Xenopus tropicalis: one gene and its partners. The protein of the gene in region 3 interacts with the protein of the main gene of each other region in a pairwise test. Links are inferred from orthologs where the notes say so. Each region holds a gene or a part of one and is shown on either strand. Other genes may lie near its edges.

Region 1 (5,450 bases), on a different chromosome or scaffold from region 3:
CCAAGTGTCTGGCAAAACCAAGTCTGAATCCTTAAAATCACATGACTTTTGGTCACGTCAACACGTGAAATGCACACTTTTATTTAGCCATTCCACTGCCTAATTTGCATATTCAAGGGATTAGGATTTGGTTTGGTATTCGGCCGAACTCAAATAGTGGATTCGGTGCATTCCTACAATTTATTGACTGGTTTGTATTTGCTTACGATTACTTAAGGATAATTTATTAGGTCATTAAGCTATAATGTTTCATTAGAATAAGTTGCCCAATTAATCCACGAGTATCAAAGCATAGGATTAATCTATCCTGTAAATGATGACAGCAGAAATGCAAAGTACATTGCATGCAAGAATTAACCATAAAATGTCTCACCTCATCCATATCTTGAACTTGAGTATCTTGGTCCATCTGAGAGGAGGAATCCTCTGCTTTGTTGTTCTTCACTTCATCCTCATCATCAGATTCCACTTCCATCTCTACCTCCTCACTCTCACCAAACTTCTCATAGCGCTCCTGGATAAGTATTCGAGCCCCTAGCTCTTCTGGAGTGGTTGGAGGTGGGAAGTTACCTGTAAAAGGCAAATATTTTCATAAAACTTATTATACGGTAGAAGGGTTCAGACTCACTTGCACAAAGACTATAAAATATGGTAAGACTCCTTGTCCTACTGATTCATACTGTATTCAACTATATCTACTTATCTGTGGTATTATCCAATTTTAAAAACCCAGACACAAAGTAACTAGCACAGTAATTTACCCAAGGTGTTTTTGCAGGGCACATCTCCCAGCACTTTTTGGGAACCACCAAACTCCCCTCTCCTGCATGCAATTCTCTTGCTGTGATACAAAACGGTTTGCAAAAGTCGGCAGAGGCAGTGTATTTACAGCAGCACACAGTCCAATTAGCTTCTATAAAACCTGTTCTATTACAGCAACAGGGTGGGGGAAAAGAACAAGTTTTTTCCCCACCCACCCATTTTTTCCTAGGGATGAATGCTGTAGTTGTACTTTCTACAGCTAATTAGGAAAGGGAAAATATATCTCTATTCAAATGCACTTGTTGCATTACCTTGCTCATTTGGTTGGAAGTCCACAGTTTCCACTACCACAAAATCATGCCAGTCTATTTGTGCATAGGCAACACGTTCTCTCTCTTTCTCTTCTTCCTCTTTTTTCTTCTCTCTTTCCTGAAACTTTGCCCACTCCACACGATAACGCACCTACTTATAGAGTACACAAAACATTTGTGAGAAGAAAAGGCAGAAGGTAGAGGCACATAGACAATTATTGCAAAATGTTGATAGCTGCATTGTTTTATACTAACAAAAGGCTAAACTAGGTAAACTTATTCGAATTATTTACTAATACATCACATAGGCATTTGTAGTTAGGGCTCTGCAGTCAACTTCTTCCACATCCATTTAAAGGAGATGGCAAGGAAAATTTTATAAATGGTACCAATGCATAGTCCCAGTATAGATAAAGAAAAACACTACACTTTGGGCTCAATTATAGTAAGAGAAACTTATAAAATCTTACCCGAAAGTTTCAGTGTTATCTAAGGTTTGGCGCGGCCATCTTTGAATTTGTATGCCCACTTCCTCTCCTTTGGCGTATTTACTGCGCATGCGCGAGCTTCCTCCCTCCCCCCAGCCTAGGTGCTCCTTGAATGAATGAACGCCGCCGGAGGCTTCTGCTTACGGCGCGTCGCCATAGCAACGAGACGCTTGCTAGTGCACGCTTCTAGGGGCCGGCTCAAGAGATCTGATTGCAGGGAGTGCGCCTGCTTGTGCGCCCCCAGAGAAGAGACAACTGCGCATGTGCCGTTTCGGTTGCAAGTCCTGAAGTCTGGCAATCAGCGAGGGATTATGGGAACTTTCTGCACACAGCTCCTAGCTTTTATATCCGTTTTGGCTTATCTTCTTGTAATCCATGGAGATATGGGGAGACTTAAGGGCACCTTTCAGACTACGGATGGTAAGCCTCCAGCCTGAGATTAACTCTTGTGTAGCCTTTCCTTCTCCTTTAATCAACTGATTCTGCACAGACTTTGCTTTGAGCATGCAGAAACAGGAAAGGGCCCTCCCCAAAGTGTTGCCAAAAGGTAGGAAGCATAGCGTCAAAAATTGCACTGTATGTAGAAGAATTCTAGTTTGTTTTTACTAGAATCTGGGTTCCTACTCCAAACTACTTTTTTTTGTTGTTATTTTACTCCACCAAACTAAACAAAAGCATTAAACATTTAGGCAGGTAGCATTTTCCTGGCTGCCAGACTGTGAACTAAGGTTCATTACACATTTAACACATTTACACTGCTCCAGAGCCCAATGGCAGCAACCTTAAAGGAACAGTAACATCAAAAAATTAAAGTGTTTTAAAGTAATTCAAATATAATGTGCTGCTGTTCTGCAAAAAACTGGTGTTTTTGCTACAGAAAAGCTACTATATAAATAAGCTGCTGTGTAGCCATGGGGGCAGCCATTCAAGCTGGAAAAAAGGAGAAAAGGCACAGGTTACATAGCAGATAACTAGTAGATAAGCCCCATATAATGGGGGTTTATCTGTTATCTGCTAAAAAACCTGTGCCTTTGCTCCTTTGAATGGCTGCCCCTGTGGCTACACAGCAGCTAACTTATATAAACTATAGTAGTCTTTCTGAGGCAAACACACCAGTTGTAGCAATGCAGGGCAACAGTACATTATATTGTAATTACTTTTATACACTTATTTTTTGGTGTTACTGTTCCTTTAACATCACTCTAGCCAATGTCTGGCATTGTGGAAGGTGTTAGGTTAATCTGCATTTACTTACAAAAAAAAAATAATCCTTGAACCAATGCTGCTTTTAGAGAACACTGGACAGTTAGGTTAATAACATAATTGGCAAAGTGATAGCTTTGCAAGGTTAGCTTTTACATACTCTAAATTGCATTTAAGACTTAAGGAGCAACTACATTGCTATAAATAAAAAAATAACTTGCTACTTACTGAATAAGCAGCCTTAAAGGACATGTAAACCTCACACACACAAATTTAATCAGTGAACATCCTCTTGGAAATCTTTCAATACCTGCTACTCTGGTTGTCCAGAGGTTAATAAGGTTAGTAAGGCTGCAACATCCCCTAAATAACTAAGATTTCCTTCTCCTCCTGTAAGCCACTCGGTCCCCTCCCTCAGGAATTTGCTTTGACTTTTCATTGACTTCTGGCTTGTGGGCATGTTTAGTTGTTCTAAACTCAGATTACTAAACACGCCCTCCAGTCTAGCAGCCAGTGAAGAGATGGCACTGCTGGTTTCCATAGAAACTCAGCTCTAGCTTTCTGCTTCAATTTTTTTCTCCTAACTTTCTCTCCTGAACTCAGTCCAAACAAAGTAGAACTTTTATCAGACAGTTCTGCCTATGTGAGGCTGCATTCTTGATGAAATGTAAGCTGAATAAGGGTCCCAGGGTGAAAGCTGCTATTTGCTTTACGAAAATGTGATGGTGCTGGCAAACGGATGGGATATATGCAGTACAAATAATGCCATTTGGGTGAAAGAGACGTGCCCAACTTAGGCTTTATGTGTCCTTTAAAACAGAAAGTATACTTGGAGCCAACATAAAGACTGTAGAGTAATCAACAAAAGTTCTAATTTACAGAAATGCAGGTAGAATATATTAGAAGGCAGAGGGTTGCATTACCTGATCCAATACTTCTGTTGGGTTTTCAGCTTCTTTCTTTAGCTTTACAAGTAATCCTTTTGGTGGTATCAGGATCTGAAAGAAAGAGATTACCAGAGGGATATCAGGGGCACAGTGCACGAGAGCCATCTCTACTTAGAGCCTATAAATGACAATATTGACAGTGCAGCTTAAAGGGGGTACTAAAACCTGCTGCACTGCACTGCTAAACCAAAGTTTACTTAGCTGTTTTTGGACTACAAATCCCAGAACAATAACATATAATGAAGTTTGTGGCATGCTAGGAGTTGTAGTCCAGCACAATCAGGGTTGCATTTTTAAAGCAATAGAACTTTTTCTAATCCTTTCTCCATATCTCCAGTGCCAGCAGCTGCATTAACATGCAAAAAATCTACCAATTAGAATCCCAGCTAATCTTTGTAAATCTGGCTCCCTGTTCTTTTCAAGATGCCTGGCATAGTGCTGGGAACCAGTGTTCTCGGTCTCTTTTCTTGCACTTATGAGGTTTTTTTAGTCAGTAAAATGCTCATTGGTGGATTTTCTTGCATCCAAAATTACGTTTTTTGACAATTTAGCAAAACTAGGGGGAGCAGGGGGACAGTATTATTATTGGGTTTACAACCCCTTTAAAAGATAGTTAATACTTGTTAACAGCTGCATTTTAGTTGCTCATAAAAATATTCAGCCACTCATTTTATACAATATGAAAAGTGATTATGACAAAGCATTGCATAAGCAGCATATTTAAATAACAATGGCCAGGCTGGAAGTAAACTACTTTGATATTTTAATCATTTCTCAAGATATATAACACATTCTAGCCGATGTAGCTTTTACTTAAAGGACACCTATGGGGCCAAATTGTTTACCCAACAGAAGGGTTTCAAAAAAAATGGTACTGCTTCCTCCAACCAGAATGTTGGCTCTATTGGCTTTCACCTCTGGTTGGGGGAAACAATTTTGCCCTAATAGGTGCCCTTTAAGAAAAGGATTTTTAGCCACTAACAGTTTTTAGGATTATGAAGATTATTACCTTGGTATACTGCTCCACAAGCTTGGTAAAGTAGTTAAAAAGACTGTGCTGGGGACGCAGGAAATCAAACTGGTAATTTCTCTGCTCTTTTTGCATCAACTGTGTGAGAAACTGGCGACCATTTCGAGCAACAAATTGTGCTGTAAGCTTTACCACGTCCAGGTCAAATGCAGAGATTGATGGAGGATCAGCAACATACTCAAACTCTGGAGGTGGTTCCTTTGGTACTATTGTCTCCTGGACAACCTGGGCCTGAACCTAGCAGAGACAGAAGAACATGAAAAATAAATATACAGGAATGATTTTATTTAACAAGGTCAGAGGACGGTGATCAGTTCCTGGTAAAGTGATAACCAATCACTTTGTAGAAAATTACTTTAGTAGAAGCTTATAAGGTGTAATGAATGGTCAAATGGCAGCTGACTAAAACTTAGAGTGGGATGCTCTTTAGTTTGATTGTCACTGCAATACCAACATCCAATGCAAACAGATTCAAAGTTCTGAATTCTTAAACTGTAATCTCTAAAGACATGGACCCTACCTCCTATATTAGACTGTATTTGTATGCAATTCATATTTTTTTCAATCTTCCGTCACAATTACTTAGTTAGATGAATTAAATGTAGATTTTGACTTCTGTGCGTGTTAGAAAGTACTTCTAAAGATTATATTCACAATGGATTCCATCCATAATACTACTCTTAAGATTAAAGCAGTGATTCACCTTTGA
Region 2 (5,669 bases), about 80 Mb from region 3:
TAACTTTCTAAATATGACCCTCTTTGAAGCCTCTCTCTCTAAATTCAGCTGTGTCAGAGCCTATTACTTTGAAACAGCGTGCTCTGTGCTTCCTTTGCTTAGACCAGTGCTGTTGAACTAGCAGCCCAAGGGTCTACCCTATGCGGCCTCTGCATTAAAGTCTGGCCCCTGTGACTGCTTGTCTTGTGCAAGCATTAAAAGGTATCAGTATTAGATTAACTAGTCCCTGCATTGTTCACATCTTAGATTCAGTCTGTAAGCCCCAGCAATACTCTGCTATACAGTCTTGTTGGAGATGTTGGAGCAGCCTGGTGGGGGGTTATTAACATATGGAAATAGTTGTCAGGGGGTCGCTAAGGTTTTTTGGTGTGCTACCAACATTAGTGTGGACATGGTCTTAAACATTCTTGTAATAACATTGGCGTGGTTTAAAGACTAGAAGTGATCAACAGTGGCTTCCAATATCAGCCCTCCGCCATGAAGGCCAGATAAATTCCAGCCCTTGGTACTACAGAATTTGGACAGCACTGTCCTAGTCAGTCTATTAAAGCTATGGTGTATTTGACCTGTCAATCAAAATCTGACTCCTGCATGAAGACAAGCCAGACCATGGTGGTAATGTCATGTTTTTAACCAAGACAGTTTGGCTGCTTCAGTCTTTCCATCCGTGACACTTTCAGAAATGGACACTGGTGAGAATAGAGTTGACAGATAGCCAGAACATTTGAATGTTATGCTTTAAATATTACAGCGAGATCAATAAAAGCACCACTCTAATAAAACAATGGTACACATGGTGACTTTTTTTTTAAAAAAAAATTTATTATCTACAAAATGGTGTCAGATGGTTCTCATGACAATTTAGAGAAATGAATTTTAAAAATGTAATAACCACTCCAGCAAACTAGAATGGTAACATTATTTAAAGGTATGGGGCATTATCTGTAACTGAAAAACAAAATTACACCTGAGAGAAATGCAACTATAACACAAAACACAGAAGCTGAAATAACAGTGAGATGAGAGGTACAGACAACCTGCCATGAAAAATAAATCTAACTAATGTGAACTTATTAATGCTTGTTAAAAGAACCTACCTTTGTCTTTGTCACACATGGCAACAAAAATGCCAAAATAGTGTCTATATAGTGGGAGGGTCAATGTATTTAGGAGAGGCATAACACTGTAGATGTCCCCCACCCCCAGAAGAAAGGAGGATTATACACCAATCAAGGGAATTATAAATACAGAGAAAAAAGTCTTGGTGACAGGGAAATAAGGGAGGAATGATGCTTGACAGTCTGGAATTTTACCTACCTGGAATAACTCAGGAGTAATAAAAAAAAGGAAAAAAGCAGCCACAGTAGCTTTCAAAACTTTCTGGCAAAAAAAAAAAAAAAAAACAAAACAGGTAAAAAAAAACAAAAAAAAAAAACCGAAAAGCCCTGCAAATACATCAAGTCATCTTAAGGCTACTGCCAGAACAAAGCACATAGAATCCTGAACACTAACTTTAAAGAACAGCTTCAAAGATTGGAAAAGTCTAATTCCCAAACATTGCTGTGATCAAGATAAAGGAAAAACAAAATGCAACAAAACATAAAGCTTACTGAGGGAAATTGTGTATTACATCAACTGGTAACACAGGCTAAAAGATAAAAAGGCTGAAGAACTCATTTACGTGTAGGTGGAGGTGGTGGTGGAGGAGGAGGGGGATACTGATAACTGGCTGCCTGGTTCATATAGTTCAATAGGCCAGAGGAGCTAGGTGGGGCAAACTGCTGTGACATCAGTGGCTGCGGTGCCTGGGCATATGCTGCTGTGCCATAATTGTTAGCTACTCCTGTGAAGCCACCCTGTCCGTAGCTGTATTGGTTGGGTTGGAAATTGGAAACCTGGCCACCGTAGCTGTAATTTGGCCGGTTCTGATCTCGCCCGGTTGGATTGTTAGAAATAGCACCATCGCGGTTATTGTTCCTCCCATCACGTCTTCCTCCATCTTTACCATGCATTCTTCTGTTACACTCTTCCTGGTACATCATATTTGGATTGTTATTTGTGGGAATGCTGCGATATCTGGATCGGCCACCTAGAGAGATTTAGAGCAGTTTTTAACATATGGTTTAAACACAGGAAAACAGTAAAGAAATACATTTGTTTACACATTACAGAAAGAAGAGACCTAAAGAGGAATAGTTTAAGAACTTTCTTCAGCTTCCAATGCACCTGCCAACATTGTTTATCAGCAAAAGTGGGATGCTACACAATCTGATCCCTCCTGCTGTAATGTAAGTCAAATCAGAAGTAAGATGGTGCGTTTTGTTAACGCATCTACATTGACGAAGAAAACCAACAAAGTCTTTTAGACACTATCAGATTTTACCTTGTCGGACACAACTTGCAGTGGAGTGCCCTGCCGGATGACAAATCTGCCATATACATTACACATCAGATTTTGTTATCAGTCCCATTATATTTTGACCTATGCAAGGATGTAATCAGCCAACCTGCCACCATTCTACATCTCCTGTGTAGCTTAGCTCTAAATCTTCAGGACAGATTTCATCTGCCATCCATCAGGATCACAGGATTGTCAAAAGCTCATCCCTCAACTGACATACACATCTAGATGGTCAGTCAGTAAAGTTGAAATAGGCCAAACTGCTTTAAGCAGGCCACACATGCCCAGAATTGTTGGGTAGTCTCCTTTGTATTGATATATTGCTTTATGCATGTCCCAGCACACACTTGTTATCTAAATATAATTTAAGATTTTAATTGTGAGCTGCGTTTGTCCTAAGGCAGAGGTGAAAGCTGTATACTGCTCTTTATACCAGCCACCCCTCCCTTACACTCTGCTACTCAGGGTGGAAGAGTACATTTAAATTAATAAGTAGTTAAGATTTTTAACACTTGTTACTTAAAGACAACTTCAAATCCAACCATCACATTTAGTTATATACTGTACACAAACCTCAGGGCAATGACCTACCTCCACCACCGCCACGGCCATGGTCCACCAGCTGCATTAGTTTAGGGTTGATTGTTTGATTTGCTTCTTCTAGAACTTTTACCAGTTCTCTGGCTTGTTTGAGGTTACCAGGTGTGAAGAAGGTGTAAGCTGTGCCTTTGTTAGTACTACGGGCAGTACGGCCAATGCGATGTACGTAGTCTTCAGAGCTGTTTGGGTAGTCATAATTAATGACGAACTTGATATCCTCCACATCTAAAAATTGAGTGGGAAATTGACGTGTAGGAAATACACACGCCAGAAGAGTGACAAAGATTAAAGTTAGTAAATGTAGAAAAATCTTGCCTCAAACTATTTCTGATTTCTACTACACTTCAGTGACTAAAGCTTAGAGTGTCTAGGCAAACTGTGATTCCCTGTAATTTCTGTTCCAAAAGCTAAAGCTGCCTTTATCTTGGTTCTTATCTGAAGTCTTAAATTAGAAATCAGAATATTGACCATTTCAGATGGATTAGGGCTTCATATGCAAAGATGCATAATACTATTTACCAGTCACAATTATGTTAGAAAACATTGAAGATAAATTCACTGACAATATAGTTCAGAGAGCTATTCCATAAACTGTAACTAATATAATGCCCAAACTGAACACATCAGATATGAGATGACTGACACTGAACCAGTTAAAATCCTAAAGCTAAAAGAGAAAACCATTAAAGCACTAAAAACCATAAATAATTTAAATTAAACTTAGTGGGATTCTTCCTCAGAAGAGCTGGTGTCCGGACCGATGCACACTCCCTCAGTGAGGTAGGGAAACAGCAGTCGCCAATCCCGTCTTTTTGGCTCATGGCGGTGTCGCCGCCCTTCATCCTTGGATAAGGGGCCACTGGAGCAGGGAGCATGCATCAACGGTCCAGGCGCAGCAAGAGGTCCCAACAGGTGCACTGGTTGAGCGAGATACTTCTGTGGGGGAGCCCTTCTCCCAAGTCCAAGTTTGTGAACCTGTCAATGGGCGAAGAGAGACCCCATCCTCCAACACTCACCATCTGCCATCAATAAAGTTATTAAAATCTTTGAAAGGTGGATGTGGACAAAGCTGCTAATTATCAGATTTTACCAAAAGGGAAGTTTGGATAAATGTCTGTTTCTTATTACAGAAAGGTCACTCACAAGAACTGCAGGTTTGGCTAATTTACAGCATAATATTAATTTAAAAAAAGGAAAAAATGGGAGAACAAAGTTCCACTATTTAGGAGGGAAGAATAACTTTGAAACCAATAGGATGAACAAATTAAATTTTTGCTCTGTCCATTAGTTTAGTGTGTTAAAAGGAAATGACAGGTTTCTAGGGCGCTCACTTTCTTATGTTCTCCATGACAGAATGGGAAGTCACGCACACTGCCACATCCTGCATGTGCAGGCAGGGAGAAAGGAGGAACTAAACAGTTTAGGAAGTAGCCACAAAAGGTCTGAAGAAGGGCAGAAGGGCTATTCTTCTGCTTTGACAGCCAAAAGACTTCCCAACAGTTGCCCAGCAGATGGCATAGTGGGAAGCATCTGTGTGATCTCCCTTCTAGAAAGGTGGTCCTTCTATTCAATAAGGCTGGGCAAGAACATGACACTGAATCAGCAGGCAAATGGGACGTAGAAGTAGCCCAATATCAGTACTCAGGGTGGAATGCCTGCATTGTGCACCACCATGTTGAGTGAGTAACTTAGGGGGCTCGGAGTTGCAGACCCAAAAATTGCCTCTTCAGTACAAGACCTTTGCGAGGGAGGAGTGTAAGAAGCCAGTGCCCTTTAGGGGGGCAGCTTCCAGCGTTCATCCCCCTGTATTTTCGACGGGCCCCTGGCCCTGTACTGAGAGAGATCTGCAGCTTCTGTCAAAAACAAAACAAAAAAAATAAGTTTTAATATCAAATTTTAAATTAAAAATATGAAATTAAATTGCCTACAGTGTAGAAGACTCATGCTCAACTGGAACTTACCTGGCTGCTACCTAACAGCTATAGAACAGGTAGCCATGCAATTTCTTAAGAGCAACAAATAGCCAAAAGACATTTTCAGAGCACTAAAAATAGTAACTACATCCAGAAGATACTGTGCCTAGAAAAGACCATTCCCTACAAGTGAACCACCTTTCCATTGGGGAGAAGGAGACCAGTAAATTTGTGGCAAGTTTTAATGGCAAACTAAAGCCAAACAGTTCCACATCCTCCCACCACAAAAAAACACAGATGGAGGAACTGAGTAACAAGAAACAGACTGTGGTACTCTTCCTGCCTTGAGAAATGCATGGTTTGCATCAGTGGATTGGGGCACAAATTAAAGGATACATATAAGCACAACTTAATACTTAGTTTTAAGCACATTCAAGATTTAAAAAAAATACTAGGAAAAAAAGCTATAACTAATAAAATGAATAAGTTACATACCAAAATGCACAATAACTTCATTTCATTAAAATAAGAAATTCACCACACACCACGGTATGTGTGGGAGGCCTGGCTATCAAAATGGGGAGCAGAAAATCCATGTACACTTTTAGTAGAAGGTACAAATCAAACCTGACTGGATGGATTTGTGAAATAAAAGGTAAATAGACTTCACATATGCTTAGCCAAAGTTCCAAAGATGTCAAAATACATCTAAGGTTTATAACGATAATAAACTTGTATTTCACATATCCGTGCTG
Region 3 (5,975 bases):
CATTCAAGCTTCAGTATATGGTGACTTTTCTTGGGCCAGGTTGGAGCTGCAGGGTGCCATTGAGTCCTATGGGAGGCTTCCAAAATCATGCTAAAATCATACTAAGTTTCGCTGCCGCTTACGAGCGCTCAATACAAAAAAGTCCCGACAAGATACGAGCGCATCGTAATGGCTACAGAAAACTCGCGTTTTTTCGCGCAAATCGTATTGGTAACGAAAAAGTCGCGTCAATTTCCGAAAAGTCGTAAAGGCGCCGAAAAAATCGCAAAAAATACAAAAAAGTCGCAAAATGTTCGTTTTCCAATCTGAATTTTTCCAATTCAGATTCGGATTCGTGGGTTAGTAAATGTGCCCCTAAATGTTTAAATCTGCTATCGCAGATATGGGAAGAGAATCTGAGCACTTGGCAATGATTTTTTTCAAAAATGCAGCATGAAATAGAAACAGTTGTTAAAAATGAATTTTAAAAATAAATGTTTTGCATTAACCTGGTAGAACTGAAACAGAAATTGTTAACTCAGTTATAATACAGTGTATTGTTTAAAGCATACCTAAGTTTGTCATGATTTAGAATAGACTGTCCTACATTGCAAGTGCCAAAGGGTGGATCTTACTAGGCAGTGGGTGAGGTTTGGGGAGGATTTAGGTTTGATCTAAAATGTTCACAAAATTGTTGTAGCACTGCAGGATCCTGATAACTGCTAAAATCTCCCTTAGGGGCTGATTTACTTACCCACGAACGGGTCGAAATGAGTCCGATTGCGTTTTTTTCGTAATGATCGGTATTTTGCGATTTTTTCGTATTTTGTGCGATTTTTTCGGCTTCTTTCCGAATTTTTCGTTACCAATACGATTTTTGCGTAAAAACGCGAGTTTTTCGTAGCCATTACGAAAGTTGCGTAAAATCTGGCGATTTTTCGTAGCGTTAAAACTTGCGCAAAAAGTTGCGCTTTTTTCGTAGCGTTAAAACTTACGCGAAACTTTGCACCTTTTAAGTTTTAACGCTACGAAAAAGGCGCAACTTTTCGCGTAAGTTTTAACGCTACGAAAAAAGCGCAACTTTTTACGCAACTTTCGTAATGGCTACGAAAAACTCGCGTTTTTAACGCAAAAATCGTATTGGTAACGAAAAATTCGTAAAGAAGCCGAAAAAATCGCAACAAATACGAAAAAATCGCAAAATGTTCGTTTTCAAGTCGGAACTTTTCCAATTCGGGTCGGATTCGTGGGTTAGTAAATCAGCCCCTTAGTGTCTTAAGCCTCACACATTTTTGCAGGACGATCGGTCGCACGAAACATCGTCAGATCCGCCACACACCATTCAGGGCTGAATCGGCAGGTAAGGAGGTAGAAACAATAGGATTTCTACCTCCTTCTGCCGATTCAGCGCTGAAGGGAGATTTTGGTCAGGCGCCTTCTATGGCGCCCGATCAAAATTTTCAGACTGGTCCGATCGGCGAGTCGGCCAATATCAGCAGCTTCCTGCGATATCGGTCTACTCGCCAACATACCATACACGCACCGAATATCGTACGAAACGAGGTTTCGTACGATATTATCGGTGCGTGTATGGCCACCTTTAGAACAAAGGATGCAATGCATAACAGGGGCAGCCATATACTGCATGCTTCTAATTTATGTACAAATATCTAAATGTGAGTTTTTTTAATTGGGGTATAGGAAAGGTATTTTATTTTCTTCATGCAAAATAAAATAGTAATGTACTTTTTTTTTTTTTAAGAATGATTTTAAAAACTTTCTATACAACTATTTATTATTAGGAACTACTACAGAAAAAAACAGGATTTTTCCTTTATTAACAAATTAGAACAGCCCTGTTCAGAGTCGGTTGTTTGTCCGGGCATTGGCGACTACAACTCTACACCACGTTTGTCTGCCATAACATAGTGGAAGAGTGTGACAAGTCACAGCTTTTTAATGTTAAAATGTCCACTTGTTCAGTCACAATGACTATCCTCCATTTTGTTGCTTGTTCTTCAGCGACAAGCAAGATGGCGGGACAAACGTGCTAACAACGTCAGACACTACTACATCCTATAAATCCGGAAGAAAGAGTTGAGCAAATCACTAACAAATTTTCGCGCGTTTATGCTTATTAGAGTACAGTCTTTAGGCAAAAGAAAACGAGGGAGGGGATGGTTTTATGCATTTTACGTAACCAATCATCTTAACGTTCTCTAGTTCTGCCTACAATACGTACGTGCGACGTAGCGCTTTATCCTATAGCAACTACCAATTCCAGCCAATCATCGCTTACGTTTTTTCCTCCTTCGACACCAACCTGGTTTCGGACCAATCGGTAGCGTCTATTTATTCATCTACCAATTATCTTCGTTTTCTATTCCTAGAGGGTGGACTCCGAAGGTGATAAAAGGTAAAGGCTGCACAGTTCCGTTCAGTCATCTTGGAGCAAGGAAAGAGGAGGAGTTTGGAAGTATTGTGACAAAGATAGACCGCGTGATGGGTAAGTAGTGTACCAGGCGTTTACTAGGCCTCTCATGTAGTTATTGCTGTTTAGAGAGCTTTTCTTCTTTTAGTCGCTGGTATTGGTGTCAGTCGCTGCTTCCAGCCTTATTTAGTTCTATATTTTGAATGTATAAACGCATATTGTATCTCAAGTCCCGTGGCTAGTTATATCTCAGCGCCGATGTATAAACGCACGTGGTTAGAGTTAAGCAAAACACTTTCCAGATTATGTATTAAGGAATATTTGGCTATTAAATCCGTTGAGTTTGTGCGTAATATCCAGTTTTACTCTACATACCAGCGAATTGTAGGCCTTTCTGCGGTGTCTCTGCTGAGTTACAATACTTGCTTGACTTGTGCGTTTTTATGCCAGTACTGCTGCAAAATCGCATGATATAATGAGGGTGAATTCGTGTTGGTGTTGCAAGTGTATTCCTTTTATTTGCGTCGCTAGCGATAAAGTTTGTGTTTTTATACGTATATACCGCACTGGTGCGAACCTATACAGGTGGGGCGCTGCAAGGTTTCGAGTGTATTAAAAAAGTGGTTAACTCCACAATACAATTTCCTACATACATTCATTAACTCTAGTTAAAGTCGCTTCCTTCCTATCGCTGCCGTCTCTGCTTTTATGAAACAATGTTGCAGCAGCAGCAGCTAACTGATCTGGGAGAAGCATGAAAGGCTGACTTTTGCTACATGGGTTCAAAAGACTGAACCAGCATTTTCGTCTACTGGTTGCTTGCAACCTGGGCGTTTCCGGATAGGGGATCTTTCAGTAACTTGGACCACCTTTCCAAAAATCATCAAATAAACTCTGTAGGATTTGCTTGTCACCAATATAGATTTATGCATCTTGGTTATTAAAGGAGACTGAAAGCTGTGCCAAATGTTAGGCTCCCCTTAATGATTGTAATCGCTTACCTTTTACCCCGGGCTGGTACTACTGTTAGGCGAAATCCACACCTGCCCAAGGTAGGTGCAAGAGAGCAATCTTCTTTTGTCTTTGCACCGCTTGTGCAGTAGAGTGTAAAGACGAACTTTAACAAAAAAGTTGGCATCTTCACCCTACTGTGCATGCGTCGGCCCCGGGATTCAAAAGCATGAAGAGACGGAAGGCTGGTGTGGTTTTCTCCTAATAGGAACAAAAGCCTGGGGTAAAGGTAAGCAATTACTGGGTGGAGCCTAACATTTGGCACCCCCAGTGATTTTTGCCTTTCCTTCTTTTTTAAATACATGGTACTGTTCTGTTACCACAGAAAAGGAATGACAACCTTCCCGTGATTTGGAGCTTTTCTGGTTAAGGATCAGATCAAATATATATATTTTTTTTTAATATATACACCCCCACCCCCTCTTTTCAGTATGAGTTTAGTAGATAGTGCTTGTGCATAAGATACCATTGTTTTAATTAAGATTAATTTGTGGTTATTCCTTGACTCTAAAGCTGGCCATACACGCACCGATACTATATCGCAGGAAGCTGCTGATATCGGTCGACTCGCCGATCGGCCAGGTTAGAAAATTTTGAATGGGCGCCATAGAAGGCGCCTGACCAAAATCTGCCGTCAGGGCTGAATCGGTAGAAGGAGGTAGAAACAATAGGATTTCTACCTCCTTCTGCCGATTCAGCCCTGACGGCAGATTTTGGTCAGGCGCCTTTTATCAGCCCTGACTGTGTGTGGCGGATCTGACGATGTTTCGTGCGACTGATGGTCGTACGAAACATCGTCAGATTGCCACATGTGTGGCCACCTTAAGGGTAATGGCACAGGGGATGTTTTGTTGCCTGCAGTAAATCTTCCCTACCACATGCAGCAAAACATCATTGTTTCCTTCCCACTGGCTAATATGCAAATCGCTGGTGGTGAAACATATGTGGTGTGAAGCACACTGGCGATGTGCATTATAGCCAGTTGGAAGGAAGCAAAGATGTTTTGTTGCCCTTAGTAGTGAAGATTTATTGCAGGCAGCAATGTCCTGTGAGCCATCACCTCAATGGTGTGAACAGACATGAAAACTTGTTTCAAGTTTTAGTGGCAATTGATCTGTTGGGTGAGTGAAAATCGCCCAAACCAAACTTACTATGGAGACCAGGCAACTGCCATCAAAATGAATGTTGTGCAATTCAGAATGGGTTAACTGAAGGGTAAAAACCCACGGGTGCTGTTCAGTTGCCCATGATAGATCTGTTATAGTGGGCGACTACCGCTCTGAAATGACTTTCCACGGCAACTTCTCGTCAATTTGTTTTTCGCAGTCGCACAAAGTTGTCTGCAGGAGGGGAAACTTTGCGCGACTTCAGACCAAAGTCACCCGCAATATCAGAGGTCTATCATGGCCGACTGAACCACTAGATGGGTTCTTATCCTTTACTGGTAGATTTTTGTGATAAATACTGTCCAACATATTCCACCTTTTTTGTAAATTGACATCTATACAGAAAAGTCAAACGGATCAGAAATAATTTTATTGAAAGAAGAAAAACAAAACTCGTACAAAAACCGTTGCATTGCTGTGCACACCCTTTAATAATCAAGAATGTGGCTGCATTCAGAATCAACCAATCTCAAATAGTCTCATCTCAAATAGTAGTTAGTATACACCTGACCTCTGATTGAGCTCAGATAAAGTTTGACTGTTCCTGTAAGATTATTCCTCTTGAGGTGGCCATACAGGTAACCATTACTATCTTTCCTGTGACCATTTGTCCTCAAATATGGAGGTAGAAACAATAGGAATTCTACCCCTATCTGATGATTCAGCCCATAACACAGCTTTTGCTCTGGCACCTTCAGTGTTGCCCAATCAAAATCTTTTGTCCGGCCCAGTCAACAGCTTTTGAGATATTGGTTGTCTCGTCTATCCACTATACATCGAATATTGTACAAAGTTAGGGTTCATATGATATCAGTACAAAATTAGGGTTCATATGATATCAGTGCACGTATGGCCAGCTTTGTTCTCACACTCCAAAAAGTATTCAAATCATTTAACATTCTATGGAACACGGTGAAGACAGTCATTAACTAGTGGAGACAGTATGGCTCTAGAGTGTCTAACAACATCAGGATGGAAAGCCATTTCAGAGTGGTTAGTCACCCACAATATCAGAGGTCTATCATGGCCGACTGAACCACTCCATGGGTTCTTACCCTTTACTACCCCTATCTGATGATTCAGCCCTTAACACAGCTTTTGCTCTGGCGCCTTCAATATCGCCCGATCAAAATCTTTTGTCCGGCTCAATCAACAGGACAACAGATATCCAAGGCTTTTGTGATATTGGTAGTCTCGTCTATCCAACATACATCAAATATTTTACAAAATTAGGGTTTGTATGATATCAGTACAAAATTAGGGTTCATATGATATCAGTGCACGTATGGCCAGCTTTGTTCTCACACTCCAAAAAGTATTCAAATCATTTAACATTCTATGGAACACGGTGAAGACAGTCATTAATAGGTGGAGACGTTATGGCTCAA
Region 4 (5,450 bases), on a different chromosome or scaffold from region 3:
GCCCCTGGGAATAGGCATATGATATGCAAGGGAAGATTACTGACCAGTTAAAAGATGGGAAAAGAAAGTTGCTGATGCTGCCAAGCAAATGAAAGGCCTATATATTAGTTATGTGCAGGCCGGCCCGATACCCACGGGTTGGGTGGGTTCAAGCAGACCTTGGCACATCAACTGTGGGTGTATTCGGATTGAGCTCTTTCGCTCTCCAGGGCTTCTGGCCAATGAAATAACTGCATACATTGAAACTGCTGGTCAAAAAATAGACTGGATATAACAAGGTTACTAAAGAGAAGGCTGGTTACAAAAAGCATGAACTGATGCTGTGGGTACAATAACCATGTGTTTATCTGCCCAGTGCCAGCACGCTAAAGCCCATTTAGCAATAACACTGAAATCCAACTGCCTCACTGTTACCTTGGCGAATTCAGGGGGTGGATTCTTCCCTCTACAAAGGTTAGACAGTGCCCACACTGCATTTCGAGTCATTGTAAGACGGTTCTGCTTGGACAGTAATCTGAAAAATAATACAAGAATATAACGGAGTAAATATGGACTCCATGTTGACAGTAATAACCACATCCCAAGTCCATGAGCTCTAAACATTCAATATGTATTTCCCACCCAATGTAACCCTAACCTCTGCTCAGCACCCTGCCCCTATAGTCAATTCTAAACATCTTTTCTACTATATCTTCATACATAACAAGTACAGCTACTTAAAAACACAGGGAAAAAATCATAAAACACCCCAAAGTTCTAGGTACTAACTGTAAAAGCGGAGGCAGAATATTGCAGTCCAACACATAATCCCGACACACGGTGCTGTCTCCGGCAATGTTCCCTAGAGCCCAGACTGCCTGTTAGGGAAGAGAAGAAAATGACATTCGTGGTTTAAACCAAGGAATCAAGTCAGTATGTGATTAGCAATTTGTAGCATTGTTTGTTTCTTTTTTGTGGGGGTTAGTCAGTAATGTAAAAAGGTTGGTTTCAGGCACCCAGTGGTTGGAATGTGTTTGAAGTACATTGCACCAAGGTCCCCAGACTTTGTCAGATTTGTTAGTTGCCCTCTGATATCCTATCTGTAAGTTCTAATGGAGGGGAGGGATGTACCCATCCAATGCACGGCAATTGTTTTTTGTTTTTTTTTTGCATGAAGGGGGAGTACACAGTTGCGCAAACACACGTGGGCTCGCGGTATCCCAAGGAGACAAATATGGGTGCCAATATTCTAGGTAATTCTAGGTTTTAGGCCAGGAAGTCGAATATTTGGGTCCAAAAAGAGTGAATGTGGGGACATTTCGAAATCATGTGGAAAAATTAAGCCCCCGCATCTAGAGCAACTGTCGTCAGAAGAGCGCCCCATTTATATAAATCTGGCAGGGGTTATCTATAGGTTTGTATTGCACTAATTTGTCTCTAGCAGGGTCTTGCCAGTCTTTGCTTAGTCTTTGGGTCCGGGTAGTTGCAAGTAGGGATACACTGAATCCAGGATTCGGTTCGGTATTTGGCCAGGATTAGGGTTCAGCTAAATCCACGGTCCTGGCCAAACTGAATCTGAATTAGCATGAATGAGCATATGCTAATTAGGATTTGGAAGGGTTAAATGTTAGGGAAATTTTTTTTTTACCCCTTCCGGATCCTAACTAACATATGCTAATTAGAATTCCGATTTGGTTCGGTATTCGGCCGAATCCCTTCGGATGGATTCGAGGGTTCGGTTTATCCCTAGTTGCAAGTTCTGGTATATTCTAGATATCATTTTGTCAGGGGAGGGGGTACACGGGGCTTCCTCTGAGTGAAACTAGTTGGGGCGAGTGTGTGGAAAATTGTGAGTGGAATGCCTCGGAGGAATCTGTAAGAGGGAAGCATTGGAGGCTGACATATTTGTTGCAGTTATGGGTAACTCTGGAAGGTTACATCAAGTCTTACAAGTAATCAAGTGGCAAGGCCAGAATATAAAGTCTGGAATGGTGACGGTAGGAGTTCCCCATAGGTGGGGATAGTAGTGGAGGGGGTGACCTAGCAATTTTAAGGCGACTGACCAGGCTTTACGGGGGGTAGTAAGCGTGGGGGGCAGAGAGGCCGTCACGCAGGTGTCTGTATGGGAAGTCTGTATGTAGCTGTGTATTTAATCATATAGGGTGGGGGGCAAGCAGATGTAAGGTTCAAACTGGTTGTCTGGGGTGAATATAATCTCCCTATTACCTGCTCCTGAACGTCTTCGAACTCTGAGCTGAGCAGCTCTATAAAGATGGGCACCGCTCCTGCCTGGATGACAATGCGGGTCTGTACGGAGTTCCCGGAGGCAATGTTAGTGAGCACCCACGCTGCTTCAAACTGAACGGAAAGACAAGAGTTACTTCCAAAGACCACCTGCAGACATTATGATACAGTACTGCTAGCATATTAACCCATTAGCAGCCACATCAGGATGCATGGGAAGTCAAAGGAACACAATCATGCCTTATCTGCTGGATGTTTGAATTACTGTGAACCACCTATGGACGGGAGCTGCAATATTGGCTCCGTAGGCAGTACAGTATGAGTGCATTCCTTACCTGCATTTTGCTTTTAATTATATCTGTTTGGGTGATGCCATATTTTTAATCTGAGGCTGATGAGGAGTTGCTTTGTAAACATATAACACCCTGCTGCCTCCCATTAACTTTAATTAGAAAAGCCTGGCAGTGTTAGACGCACACCCATTTGTCTTCAGCCTTAAAGGAGAAGGAATGGTAAGAACTCAGTAAGCTTTAACAGTAAATAAGCACTCACAGAATCCTCCTATGTGGCCTCTATCAAAAGAAACGCAGTATTTATTTTCTTCTTTCGTGTATACATGTTCTTCTGTGTCAGACTTCAGGTCAGGGGCACGAGTCTGCTCAGTTTGCTGTGCTCCTCCTGCCATCTCTCCCCTTTCCCTTCTCCCCCTCCCATCTACCCTTTTTCCCTTTCCCTTCTCCCCCTCCCATCTACCCTTTTTCCCCTTCCCTTCTCCCATCTATCCTCTCTCCCCTTCCCTTCTCCCCCTCCCATCTACCCTTTTTCCCCTTCCCTTCTCCCATCTATCCTCTCTCCCCTTCCCTTCTCCCCCTCCCATCTCTCCTCTCTCCCCCTTCCCTTTTCCCCCTCCCATCTCTTCTCTCTCCCCCTCCCATCTATCCTTTCTCCCCTTCCCTTCTATCCTCTCTCCCCCTTCCCTGCTCCCCCTCCCATCTCTCCTCTATCCCCTATCCCTCTTCCCTGCTCCCCATCCCATCTCTCCTCTCTCCCACTTCCCTGCTCCCCCTCCCATCTCTCCCCTTCCCTGCTCCCCCTCCCATCTCTCCTCTCTCCCCTTCCCTTCTCCTCCTCCCAACTCTGTGTAATCTGAGCTACCAGCAGCCAGAGCTGCAGCACAGAAGCTACTGAGACCAAGCTAAAATGGCAGCTGCTATCTTAAACAAACAGACAGAGCTTCTAGGGCCATTTACTCAGGCAGGTAAAGCTTTCTGCAGAATAAATATAGCATTCTAGCTTGTACTATTGTGACTAATCTATTGGCAAAATATGCCAAAATGCCTTTCCTTCTCCTTTAAAGTGTGGAGGGAAAAATAGTTACTGTTCCCCTTTTGCCGCTAAATCTTGAGCTTGACAACTGTGACAAGTCACAGGGATTTCAGCAGGGATGTTATTTCTGCAATGCTTGCCTGTGCCACATGAATTCACCTTGGCCGGATGTCTTATCTTTTTTGGCCGCTATGGTTCCTTAAGCAAGCCGTCTGATTAACTGAATAACCTTCTGTGCGTCACGGTGCCCCTGAGCTCATACAGAGTCAAAGCTGTGGTGTTAAATGTGGCCCATTATAGCACACTCCAAGGGACACGGATGGCGCACAAGAGGCTGCCCAGGATAAAAGGGTAAATGCAGCTAGGAGTGATTGTGTTTCCCACTGACGGCTACGTGTGTGCTCCTCATCTCTCATTCAGGCACATTACCTGTAATGTACAGTTCTCTTTCCGCTTCAGGAATTCCACGAATCTAGCGACCACCCCCGGAGTCCCTATAACCTCATCAATGGGAGGGTTGGGCTCTGTTAAGAGACAGACTCACACTGTTATTACACCAATCACATGTTTATTGAGCACATTACAGCTGCTACAGACTCGCACTGCCCATGCTCAACCCCAAGGTTAATACAGATGTATTTACAGGTATTTATGAACCAGCAAATTCAGCTAACATGAAAATAAATGCGAATCAGTGGTACCTCAAAGGGCAATAATATGTCAAGAAGATACTGAACAGGGCAGGTGGGCAAATGCACAGAACATACCTTTTGATAGCAGTTTTCTGAACTTCTGCGTCGCTGCAAGCTGCTGCTCTGGGTTGTTGGAGAAAATCATCTCTATCATGTCTCCCGTAATAACCCCACTCTGTCAGAAAGAATATTTAGAAGAGTTTAGCAGCTTGGTTATACACTAAACTGTTCCTGCTGAATTGTGCTTAGTACAGGGGAATCCCTATGTGCCATAGTTTTATGGTATCTCTCTGTACAGGCTATGGGCAAACTTAGGGGGCTGTTCCTGCTGAATTGTGCTTAGTACAGGGGAATCCCTATGTGCCATCGTTTTATGGTATCTCTCTGTACAGGCTATGAGCAAACTTAGGGGGCTGTTCCTGCTGAATTGTGCTTAGTACAGGGGAATCCCTATGTGCCATAGTTTTATGGTATCTCTCTGTACAGGCTATGGGCAAACTTAGGGGGCTGTTCCTGCTGAATTGTGCTTAGTACAGGGGAATCCCTATGTGCCATAGTTTTATGGTATCTCTCTGTACAGGCTATGAGCAAACTTAGGGGGCTGTTCCTGCTGAATTGTGCTTAGTACAGGGGAATCCCTATGTGCCATAGTTTTATGGTATCTCTCTGTACAGGCTATGGGCAAACTTAGGGGGCTGTTCCTGCTGAATTGTGCTTAGTACAGGGGAATCCCTATGTGCCATAGTTTTATGGTATCTCTCTCTACAGGCTATGAGCAAACTTAGGGGGCTGTTCCTGCTGAATTGTGCTTTGTACAGGGGAATCCCTATGTGCCATAGTTTTATGGTATCTCTCTGTACAGGCTATGGGCAAACTTAGGGGGCTGTTCCTGCTGAATTGTGCTTAGTACAGGGGAATCCCTATGTGCCATAGTTTTATGGTATCTCTCTGTACAGGCTATGGGCAAACTTAGGGGTCTGTTCCTGCTGAATTGTGCTTAGTACAGGGGAATCCCTATGTGCCATAGTTTTATGGTATCTCTCTGTACAGGCTATGAGCAAACTTAGGGGGCTGTTCCTGCTGAATTGTGCTTAGTACAGGGGAATCCCTATGCTTCCATAGTTTTATGGTATCTCTCTGTACAGGCTATGAGCAAACTTAGGGGGCTGTTCCTGCTGAATTGTGCTTAGTACAGGGGAATCCCTATGT

The links. The genes of interacting proteins can lie anywhere in the genome.
Region 1: the proteins of sf1 (region 3) and sf3a1 interact in binary tests that used the Homo sapiens proteins (3 or more experiments, as listed by UniProt). The link is inferred for Xenopus tropicalis from reciprocal best matches to the Homo sapiens genes SF1 and SF3A1.
Region 2: the proteins of sf1 (region 3) and ddx17 interact in binary tests that used the Homo sapiens proteins (3 or more experiments, as listed by UniProt). The link is inferred for Xenopus tropicalis from reciprocal best matches to the Homo sapiens genes SF1 and DDX17.
Region 4: the proteins of sf1 (region 3) and kpna1 interact in binary tests that used the Homo sapiens proteins (3 or more experiments, as listed by UniProt). The link is inferred for Xenopus tropicalis from reciprocal best matches to the Homo sapiens genes SF1 and KPNA1.

What each region holds. Positions count from the first base shown.
Region 1 is NC_030677.2:144,341,084-144,346,533, reverse strand, and holds part of sf3a1 (splicing factor 3A subunit 1), read right to left. Parts: intron 4,979-5,450; coding exon 4,721-4,978; intron 3,763-4,720; coding exon 3,688-3,762; intron 1,225-3,687; coding exon 1,074-1,224; intron 571-1,073; coding exon 374-570; intron 1-373. UniProt on the Homo sapiens protein: Component of the 17S U2 SnRNP complex of the spliceosome, a large ribonucleoprotein complex that removes introns from transcribed pre-mRNAs.
Region 2 is NC_030680.2:120,520,772-120,526,440, reverse strand, and holds the end of ddx17 (probable ATP-dependent RNA helicase DDX17), read right to left. Parts: intron 3,227-5,669; coding exon 2,993-3,226; intron 2,090-2,992; coding exon 1,674-2,089; 3' UTR 1,266-1,673; downstream 1-1,265. UniProt on the Homo sapiens protein: As an RNA helicase, unwinds RNA and alters RNA structures through ATP binding and hydrolysis.
Region 3 is NC_030680.2:40,392,791-40,398,765, forward strand, and holds the start of sf1 (splicing factor 1), read left to right. Parts: upstream 1-2,434; 5' UTR 2,435-2,481; coding exon 2,482-2,485; intron 2,486-5,975. UniProt on the Homo sapiens protein: Necessary for the ATP-dependent first step of spliceosome assembly. Binds to the intron branch point sequence (BPS) 5'-UACUAAC-3' of the pre-mRNA. May act as transcription repressor.
Region 4 is NC_030678.2:3,393,606-3,399,055, reverse strand, and holds part of kpna1 (importin subunit alpha-5), read right to left. Parts: intron 4,417-5,450; coding exon 4,317-4,416; intron 4,074-4,316; coding exon 3,979-4,073; intron 2,338-3,978; coding exon 2,206-2,337; intron 858-2,205; coding exon 769-857; intron 515-768; coding exon 415-514; intron 1-414. UniProt on the Homo sapiens protein: Functions in nuclear protein import as an adapter protein for nuclear receptor KPNB1. Binds specifically and directly to substrates containing either a simple or bipartite NLS motif.